Linked DNA regions of Macaca fascicularis. The protein of the gene in region 1 interacts with the protein of each later gene in a biochemical or structural test. Links are inferred from orthologs where the notes say so. Each region holds a gene or a part of one and is shown in the gene's direction. Other genes may lie near its edges.

The links. The genes of interacting proteins can lie anywhere in the genome.
Region 2: the proteins of HRAS (region 1) and RALGDS form a complex in vitro, tested with the Homo sapiens proteins (4 studies listed by BioGRID and IntAct, with this or other methods). The link is inferred for Macaca fascicularis from reciprocal best matches to the Homo sapiens genes HRAS and RALGDS.

Annotation. Positions count from the first base shown.
Region 1 is NC_088388.1:432,871-437,720, reverse strand, and holds the start of HRAS (GTPase HRas), read left to right. Parts: upstream 1-1,421; 5' UTR 1,422-1,838; exon of another isoform or gene 1,839-1,854; intron 1,855-3,450; exon of another isoform or gene 3,451-3,595; intron 3,596-4,632; 5' UTR 4,633-4,682; coding exon 4,683-4,793; intron 4,794-4,850. UniProt on the Homo sapiens protein: Involved in the activation of Ras protein signal transduction. Ras proteins bind GDP/GTP and possess intrinsic GTPase activity.
Region 2 is NC_088389.1:10,646,745-10,651,710, forward strand, and holds the start of RALGDS (ral guanine nucleotide dissociation stimulator), read left to right. Parts: upstream 1-1,647; 5' UTR 1,648-1,762; coding exon 1,763-1,945; intron 1,946-2,849; exon of another isoform or gene 2,850-4,966. UniProt on the Homo sapiens protein: Functions as a guanine nucleotide exchange factor (GEF) activating either RalA or RalB GTPases and plays an important role in intracellular transport. Interacts and acts as an effector molecule for R-Ras, H-Ras, K-Ras, and Rap.

The DNA of each region.
Region 1 (4,850 bases):
CAGATGCACATGTAGCCACTTAGAACTTTCTGGCCGTGGCTTTCATCTGTTGACCACATATGGACATTGAAGATGTATCCTCTCCATCCTGTCTACAGCTGCCCCTGCGCCAGGCGAGTTGGCCGGCCGTTGACAGAGGTGGTGGGCGGGAGTGTTGGAGCAGGGCCGCGGCTCAGGCTCCGGGTGCCTCAGTGGCCTGGTCTGGAAGGTGACCATGCACCAAGAATCAAAGAAGATAAGCTCAAAATAGAGTCTCATGGAGTTTCCAGCCAGAATCTCCCCCACTGCCTGCCTTTCTCCAGATGGTGGAAGGCCCCAGGCCTCACAGCAGGACCCCACCACTGCGTTCCCCCAAAGACTCTGGCCACCTCCATCCCAGGCCTGCCAGTCTTGAGCCTCATGGAGTACGTGAGCTGGCCGGGTCATGCGCAGCCCCAGGACATCTATGGGTGGCACTAAGGGCTGAGTCAGCCACCCTTGTCTCCTCTGTGCCCAAGAGCCCGAGTATCAGGCTGGTCTGAGCCCCAAGGCCTAGGGGTGCAAGGACCAGGGGTTGGAGGCTGTGGAGTCCCAAGCCCCCACTGGACTCCCACCTCAGACACTGCTCCTGGTGTTCTCGCCCAGGCCTGAACCCATCCGCACACTTCGCAGTCCTGCTCCTACCCTGTGTCCCCTCTGCGAGCCCCCATGCTCCCCAAATTGGAAACTGGAGGAATTCTGTCTCCACACCCCAGCTAGTGCCATTCCCTGGTGGGTAGCTCATCACCTCTGGTCCCCTGCAGCCCTTGCCCCTTCACCATGGACGCTGGGAGGGCAGAGCCCGCTCCCCTGCTGAGCCCCACCCTGGAACTCCAAGCACCCTGGGTCCTTGCCTCTGCATCTCCCTCAGGGGCAAGGCTTGGGGCCCCTCCTGCCTCCTGACAGGGAGCCCCTTCAGTGCAGGGCCAGGGGGTGGTGGAGGCAAGGGTCCCCAGGGGACCAGATCTGACGTGCGGGGCCTCCACTGGGTCCCCGTTGGCTGTGCTGCTTAGTCCCCGCGCCCTCGCCTCGGCGCAGGCTCCCTCCTGCCACCAGGCATACGGCGAGGCCTGTGGCTCCCACCCCAAGGGTGCGCTCGGCTCTCACCTGAGGGCTCAGCCCAGGTGTCCGGCCCTGGCAGCTCGGCCCTGGGCGCCCTCCGCCGCCAGGCGCTGTCTCCTACTCCAGGCTGTTCTTCCGGCTGCGGGGTTGCGGCCTGGGTCCCATGGCAACGTGGGCGGGTCCTCATTTGAATACGCAAATATTTATAAGCCGCAGGAGGCTCGGGTTCTGAGGGGCTGAGCCACGCCCCTTAGCAACGGTCGCTAGGGCGGGGCCACGTGAGTTGGCACTTGGGTGGGCGATCCCGGGGGAGGTGACGCGCCACCAAGTCGGGTGGGCGCAGGCGCGTCAGGTGCCAGCTCCCTGCGGCTCCGTGCCCGGGCCGTCGCGGTGCACGTGTCGCGTTTCCTCGCGATCCCGGCGCTTCCCACGCGGGGCCGGCAAGGGCGGTCTCTGCTGGAGGCTCCCGCCCACCTTTCCCACGTGGAAGGGTCGCCCCTGGGGTCGAGGCCTGACGCCCTGACCTTCGATTGGAAGTGAGGCCGACAGCAAAAGGAAGCACCGGGGCAAGCGCCCCGGAGGACCAGGAAACACAGACCGGATGCCGAAGCGCGCCCGAGTGCCCGGCCCGTGGGACACGCCGCCGCCCGCCGTTCAGTCGCCGCCTCTCACCTGCGTTCATGCGCGTCCGCCCCGAGCCGGGCTCTGACTGCGACCGCGCGGTGGATGGACGGCAGGCGGGACCCCCGGGACCGCACGTGGGTGGAGCCCCGGGTCAGCGGCGACCGGCGCAGGAGGGCGTGGCGGCGGGGCGGGCACTGGGTTGGGCAGAGGCAGGGTTTGCCTGACCGTAAAACGCCTTTTTTTCTTTTAAACGCCTTTTTTTTGAGACGAAGTTGCGCTCTGTCACCCAGGCCGGAGTGCAGTGGCGCGATCTCGGCTCACCGCAACATTCGCCACCCGGGTTCCAGCGATTCTCCTGCCTCAGCCTCCTGAGTAGTTGGGCCTACAGGCTCGCGCCACTGCAGCCGACTAATTTTTTGCATTTTTAGTAGAGACGGGATTTCATCATGTTGGCCAGGCCGGTCTTGAACTCCTGACCTCAAGTAATCCACCGGCCTAGGCCTCCCAAAGTGCTGGGATTATAGGCGTGAGCCACCGCGGCCGGCCCCTTTTGCTTTTTTTTTTTTTTTTTTTTTTTTTTTTTTAGACGGAGTCTCGCTCTGCCACCCAGGCTGGAGTGCAGTGGCCGGATCTCAGCTCACTGCAAGCTCCGCCTCCCGGGTTCACGCCATTCTCCTGCCTCAGCCTCCCAAGTAGCTGGGACTACAGGCGCCCGCCACCTCGCCCGGCTAGTTTTTTGTATTTTTTAGTAGAGACGGGGTTTCACCGTGTCAGCCAGGATGGCCCTTTTGCTTTTTAATGAGAATGTATTTCTGATTCCTTTGCAATTTAAAAAAATGTTAAAAAAAAAAAAAAAAACACGTCTTTTGGGGTTTGAAAGAGCTAGGATGTGGTCTTTGTGCTTGGGGTGAGCCCTGGGCACTTCGCTCTCCTGTGGCAACCTGTAGGTACCGTTTAACTGCACCACGCTGAGCTTCTGCATGGTTGGAACCTCAAGTCTGGGGGGACTGAGCGGGCAGGGTCGCCTGCCACGCAGGCCCAAGTAAGAGAAGTGGTGGAGGGGGCGTTCTCACGCCTGGCCCCAGGGAGCACGGCTGCGCCCGCCGCTCGAAACCCCACCGGAGCTGCAAGGCGTCCTCGGGGTGGGCTGAGGTGGGAGTAGGGGAGCTGGGGTGCGTGTGGTAGGTGGGGTGCGCGGAGGAGGCGGGGTGCGCACCGTCCGGGTGCGGGGCCACTCCACCTGCGCGGAAGGGGAGCCGGGCAACCGGACCCCGCGGCCACCCGGGGGCCCCCAGCTCCGAGCGGCCCGCCTTGGTCCCGACGGATCCCAGCCTTTCCTCAGCCGGAGCCCCGGGACCTCCGCGGTGGGCGACGCCGCGCTGCGGACGCAGGGAGGGCCTCGAGTGCACGGGCGCCGCTGAGTCGGGTTCTCTCGCCGGCCTGTTCCCGGGAGAGTCCACGGCCCTGCTCGGATATGCCGCCGCAGGCCCCCAGACACCTGCTCCCTCGCCCTCCTTGAGCAACCCCGAGCTTGCCTCCGCTCGCCGGCCTAGCCCAACCCCCCGAGGCCGCGGCCCTTCTGGCTCCGCCTCCCGCGTTGCTCCCGGAAGCCCTGCCCGACCGCGGCTCCTGACAGACGGGCCGCTCAGCCAACCGGGGCGGGGCGGGGCCTGGTGTAGCGAGGCCAATGGTAGGTCGCGCAGGGCTGACGGACGGGCGCGGGGTGGGGCGTGCGCGAGCCCGGCCGAGTCTCCGCCGCCCGCTCCCTGCGCCTGCAGCCCCAGCCGCACCCGCCGCGGACGGAGCCCATGCGCGGGGAGAACCGCGCGCCCCCGCCCCCGCCCCCCCCTGGCCTCGGCCCCGGCCCCGGGGGCAGTCGCGCCACTGAGCGGTGAGTGCGGGCCGGGGTCGGCCGGGCCGCGCGCCCTCCCCGCCCCCAGGCGGCAGCCATACGCGCGGCGCGGGCCGGGGGCGCGGGACCGGCGGGCGTGAGCGGCTGCGGCGGCGGTAGTGGGTGGGTGGGGCCGGGCCGGGCCGGGCGGGGCCCCCAGGCACAGGTGAGCGGGCGTCGGGGGCTGCGGCTGGCGGGGGCGGGCTGAGGCCCCTTAGTCCCTGGGGCCTGCGGGAATCCGGGCCCCGCCCGTGGCCTCGCTCTGGGCACGGTCCTCACGCCGGCGTCCCCGGGAGCCTCGGGCCCGGCGCCCTCATAACCAGGCGCGTCTGGGCGGAGGCGGCCGCGGCCACGGCACGCCCGGGCACCCCCGATTCAGCATCACAGGTCGCGGACGAGGCCGGGGGCCTCAGCCCCAGGGCCCTTCCCCTCTCCGGGTCTCCCGCGCCGCCTCTCGGCCCCTTCCTGTGGCTCAGCCCCTGCTTCCCAGGAGCCCCTCTGTCTTTTCCAGCTTTCTGTGGCTGAAAGATGCCCCCGGTTCCCCGCCGGGGGCGCGGGGCGCTGCCCGGGTCTGCCCTCCCCTCAGCGGCGCCTAGCACGCAGTAGGCGCTCAGCAAATACTTGTCGGAGGCACCAGCGCCACGGGGCCTGCAGGCTGGCACTGGCCTGCCCGGGCACGCCGTGGCGCGCTCCGCCGTGGCCAGACCTGTTTAGGAGGACGGTAACCTCAGCCCTCGGGCGCCTCCCTTTAGTCTTTCTGCCGACCCAGCAGCTTCTAATTTGGTTGAGAGCGCTCAGCTGTCAGCCCTGCCTTTGGAGGCTGGCTCCCTTTTCCCCTCACTGGGTCCTTAACAGCAAGTGGGGGCGAGGCGACAGCCCTCCCCCGCGCTGGTTTGCAGCTGCACAGGTAGGCACGCTGCAGTCCTTGCTGCCTGGCGTTGGGACCCAGGGCCCGCTATGGGTTTGCTCTTCAGATGGCTCTGCCAGCAGCTGCCCTGTGGGGCCTGGGCCTGGCTGAGCAGGACCATCCTTGGCAGGTGGGGCAGGAGACCCTGTAGGACCCCGGGCCGCAGGCCCCTGAGGAGCAATGACGGAATATAAGCTCGTGGTGGTGGGCGCCGGCGGTGTGGGCAAGAGTGCGCTGACCATCCAGCTGATCCAGAACCACTTCGTGGACGAATACGACCCCACGATAGAGGTGAGCCTGGCGCCGCCGTCCAGGTCCCGGCAGCTGCTGTGGGCGAGCCCAGGACAC
Region 2 (4,966 bases), on another chromosome or scaffold:
CCAGCCTGGCCAACATGGCGAAACCCTGTCTGTATGAAAAATACAAAACTAGCTGTGCATGGTGGCGGGTGCCTGTAATCCCAGCTCCTCGAGAGGCTGAGGCAGGAGAATCACATGAACCCAAGAGGCGGAGACTGCAGTGAGCCGAGATCACACCACTGCACTCCAGCCTGAGTGACAGAGCGAGACTCTGTCTAAAAAACAATCAAAAACAGCATTTATCACATACAGCTGGTTATTAAAATACTGATTTTAGAAATTAGAAATTCAGGGAAGTAAAATGAAAGCCAGTATAGCTTCTCTACCCAGCTGCAACTTACCACCATAATTTTTGTGAAGTAGGCCCTTCTAGTCGTGTGCACATGGGGGTCTGGTTCTGAAAGGATGACCTGCCACCTCACTCCAGTCACAGTGGAAGCGTTTTCCGTGGGTGTCTGAGGATTGGCACTTGGGAAGGGGGCAAGATGTGCTCGTGGAATGTGCTGTCTGGTCCCGCCCTCTCAGTTTACAGATGGAGAAACTGAGGCCCAATGGTACGGACCAGTGGGGAGGTTGGCATGGCCAGGGCTGCTGGCAGCGATTGCTGGCCTCCCTGAGGACTGAGGGCTGAGGCCGGGGCAGGCGCAGTTCATCCACTCTCCTGGCCCTGCTGTTAAGCCCCAGGTTGTCTTCCTTCCTCACTGGCTTCCAGAAAGAGTAGTTGAGGATCTCCCTGTCCCTGCTTCCCCTTCAGCCCCAGCAGCCCCACTCCACCCTGAGACCAGGGATGTCCAAGCGACAAGCAGCCCCAGCTAACAGGCCCCGCAGCCATGTGATCTGCCCAGCATTGTCACTCTTGATGCCTTCCTCTTCAGTTGCCTCTCAGCCCCAACCTTGGCGCCTCCCGCTCTCCCCCACCTCCCTGACTTCCCCTCCTCTGAGGGTGTCTGTAAGGCTGAAAGGGGATAGTATGGGGCTTTACCCCCAAAATGGTAGGGCCCCACTCTTTCCCCCACTGCACACACAGCCCCACACTCAGGATTTCCAATTGCACTGACATGGTCACTGAACACATAGTCAGCCTCTCCAAACTCCGCATGAGCCTGTAGTCAGGTGCAGGTGCTGAGTGCTTTATGTCCCTCACGTAATGTCATCCTCCCCGCAGTTGTTTGAGGAAGTCATTTTCACTACCCAGATTTTGCAGATGAAGAAACAGTGAGGTTCAGAGGGGTTAAGCAACTTGTGGAAGGCCACAGAGCTGGGGAGAGGCTTTGCTGGAATTCGGGGTTGGCGACACCAGGGCAGCTTCCCCACACATCATAAGCACGTACAGATTTCAGACCTACACAACCCACGCACTGCAGCAGCGTAACACGCAGACGGTGCCTAAGCGGGGTACCCAAGGCCCGACGACACACGTGACAACAGGCCCTTTAGGGAGACCCAGCCAACGCGCGCCCCTCGACCTCCCCGGCCCCGCCCTCTTTGTTCAGACTCCGCCCCTCCAGGCTCCCGGGTCTGACCTCGGCGAGGGCGGGGCCGCGGGCGCGCGCACGCACGCACGCGTCCCTGGGCCTCTCCGGTCCCGCCCCTCCCTGGCCCCGCCCTCCTCACCCCTCCGGCTCCGCCCCCAGCCTGACATCAGCAGGGGCCGGGCCGCGGGCTCACAGCGGAGGCAAAGCCCAGTCGCGCGGGCTGCGCCGCCGCCCCCGCCGCGCGCCGGGCCGGCCCCGCGCCCGCGCTGCCCCGGGTCCCGCGGCCCGGCCCCTGCCACGAGCCTTCCATGGTGCAGCGCATGTGGGCCGAGGCGGCCGGGCCTGTTGGCGGCGCCGAGCCGCTGTTTCCGGGCTCCCGGCGGAGCCGCAGCGTGTGGGACGCCGTGCGCCTGGAGGTGGGCGTCCCCGACAGCTGCCCGGTGGTGCTGCACAGCTTCACGCAGCTCGACCCCGACCTGCCGCGCCCGGAGGTGGGTGAGCTGGGGCGGTCGGGTGGGGGATGCGTCGGAGTCTCCCCACCCACGGCAGAGCTGGGCAGGCCGGGGCGAGCCCTGGACGGGGCCGGGCTATCCTAGCGGGCCGCCTCTCTCCTCCCTCCTCCGTAGGTGGGGGTCGGGGCCTTCTGCAGAAATCAGCCAGCAGGGTGGGCCAGGGGGCTGCCGCCCCGCCCCGTCCAACAGTAGGGACCACGGCTGGGATTTTGCCCCCCTCAATACCGTCCCAGGTCCTGCTGTCACCGAGTCCCCGCAACCCAGGTGGACCTTTTCCTGCGGCATTGTCACTGTTTACATCGGTGGCCTGTGCCTTATTTCACCCAGTTGCCCACCCAGGGCCTGCACCACGTCGTTAGCCTTTCCAATGCAGGTGTGGAACAAGTGGTCGGGAGGGCCGAATCCTAGAATCCTCAGAGGTGATGAGACCATAGGGGCCTTCCAGACAGACCCTACTTGGGGCAGATGTGGATCTGGTGACCAGGGACAGCGGGGCGGGTTTGGGGGGAGGGTCGCGGAATGAGGCGGAGCAGCAGGCCTCCAACACGTGGGACCAGATGTCCTGGTGGTGAGCGGAGGAGGGTAGCCCAGGCCCAGAGCGGGCGAGACTTGTTTCTGCTTAACTGGAAAGAGTGCCAGCACCCTGAATCTGTAAGGACTGGGTAGGATTCAGAGAAGGAAGTGGTGTACGTGTGATGGATGAATGGGAGGGTGACCAGGTGAGGGCTGGGGCTTGTTTCTCGTGTGCCCTGGGTCTCTGGGTGGTGCCATCTGCCTCCCACCTGACTGCACAGCTGGAGTGGAGAGGGCCTCTCTGTATTCACAGGGAGCATCTCCCTTCAGCCTCCGTCTTCCCACTGTTTGATCTCTTGATCGCACTGTGTGCAGGTCTTTGGTTTAATTCAGAGACGCCCCCCTCGCCCTGCTCTGCCTGGGTACAGGGCCTGCACAGAGGCCATCCCTGGATCAGGGGCTCAGGGCCCATCAGAGCTCTGGCCGGGCTGCAGCCTTCACAGTGAACCTCCTGAGTCCCCGTGCTGCATCGTGTCGCCTTGGTGCATCTCCAGTCCCTTCATGGCTTTAGACTGTGGCGTGTTGTGATTGCTGGCGATTGTTAGCCTGAGTCTCGTGCCTCTTGGTGTCCTGGTACCTAGACAGGGCCTGGATGAGACTTGTTTCTCCGCCCAGTGTTGGGAAGAGCTCTTGGTGGGGGAACACCCCACGCCTGAGAGACCCTTTCCTCCTGAGCTTGGCAGATGGCCGGACCAGACGTGTTCCCTCAACCCTCATCTACCCAGGGCTCTGGTCCTCATTGGCGGCTGGAGAGGGACCCCTGGGAGGGTGGGGGTGGGAGTGGGAGGCTGACAGCAGCCCAGCGCTCATCTGGCTTTCATTACCTCTGGCAGCAGCTCGGCCTTTGTGTGCTGGGAGGGTCTGGCGGAGCGCTCACAGGGGCCGTGCAGGTTCGCTCTCTCCGTCCCTGAGGAACCAAGGGAGAGGCAGAGCTGAGCCCCACCCCTGCCTGGGATCTTGCCTTCCCTCTCTGGCCCTGGCCCTCCTGGCCCAGCCTCAGCTCTGAGATCCAGCCTGTGGCTGCTATTTAAAAATCAAAGGGGAAACTTCTGGCTGGGTCAGGAAAACCAGGATCCTGGCAGGAGAGGAGGCCACTGCCGGAAACTGAACACAATGACCATTTACCAAGGGCCCAAGGGAGGGGGCGGGGAAGTCCCTGTCCCTCCTGCCAGCACCCCCTATCCTGGGGCTGGTTTCCTGGTGGCTATGTGGCCTGCCAGAGCTGACGCTGCGCACTTGGTCCCTGTCCTCTGGAAACCACCAGACAGTTTTTCTGCCTTCCCCCACACCCCTGTTTCCCTACCTAGCTTCCACCCGGTGCTTCCCTCTGGGCTGCCAGATGTTCTCACATCTGGGCTTCCGCTTATCTTCTCGGTTCTAAGGCAAGCCACCACCGACCCAGCTTGGCCTGCACAGTTCTTGCTTTCTGGAGGTGACCTGGTTGGTGCCCCCATCTCTGGACAGGCGGTTGCTTTGGCCTGGCAAAAAGTGCAGGTTGTGGGCCACCCCCTCACTTCATCTGCCTTAGACCAACCCTACAGAGTAGGTGCCAACACCACCTTCTAGGAAGCTGGGGGGTCAGAGAAGGGAAGTCTCCGACCTAAACCCCCGTGCAGCCAACAAGGGCCACAGCCGGGATTTGAGCATGGGCTATGTTCTCTGTGGCACCTGCTGTGTGCAGGAGCCGTCAGGAATCAGAGAAGGCCCAGGCAGCCCAGATGCCCCGAGCAGTAGGGAAGCTTATGGCTCAGAGGAAGGCAAAAGTGCTTTGGGCCACAGGACGCCGGGGAGAGCTACCCGGAGGAAGCAAGCCCAGAACTAGACCCCGCAGGTTTAAAATGACAGCTAATAGGAGCCAGCAGGTTTTGGGGAGGTTCTGAGCTAAGTAATTTGCATCACCTCCTTTTGGGGTCAAGACTGGTAAGAGCCCATTTGACAGATAAAGCCACTGAGGCAACAGAGGCTAATTCGATTGTGCAGAGTGACCAAGCTGGTCAGTGGCAGGGGCAGGATTCTGACCCAACTGCCTGAGGGCAGTTGTAGGTGGGCTGGAGTGGAGAGGGCCTCTCTGTATTCACAGGGAGCATCTCCCTTCAGCCTCCCGCGTCTTCCCACTGTTTGATCTCTTGATCACACTGTGTGCAGGTCTTTGGTTTAATCGCCAGGGCTCATGAGCACTTTGACGCTGAAGACCCGAGCCAAGGAGCCTGTCCCTGTGTGGGTGTGTGTCCCTGCGTGCATGTGTGCAGACTGGTCTTCCAGGAGAGCTTCCTAGGTGACTCCGAAGGGGCAGCCCCCAGGACCCTCAGGTTCCCCTCTTGCTGTACTCCTCGGGAGGGTCCCCCAGGAGAAGAGGGCGACAAGGCTGGCTGGTCCTGGGTCTTTGTTTCTTCTCCAGGTGGGGGATGCTCAGGCATGCTGGCCTGT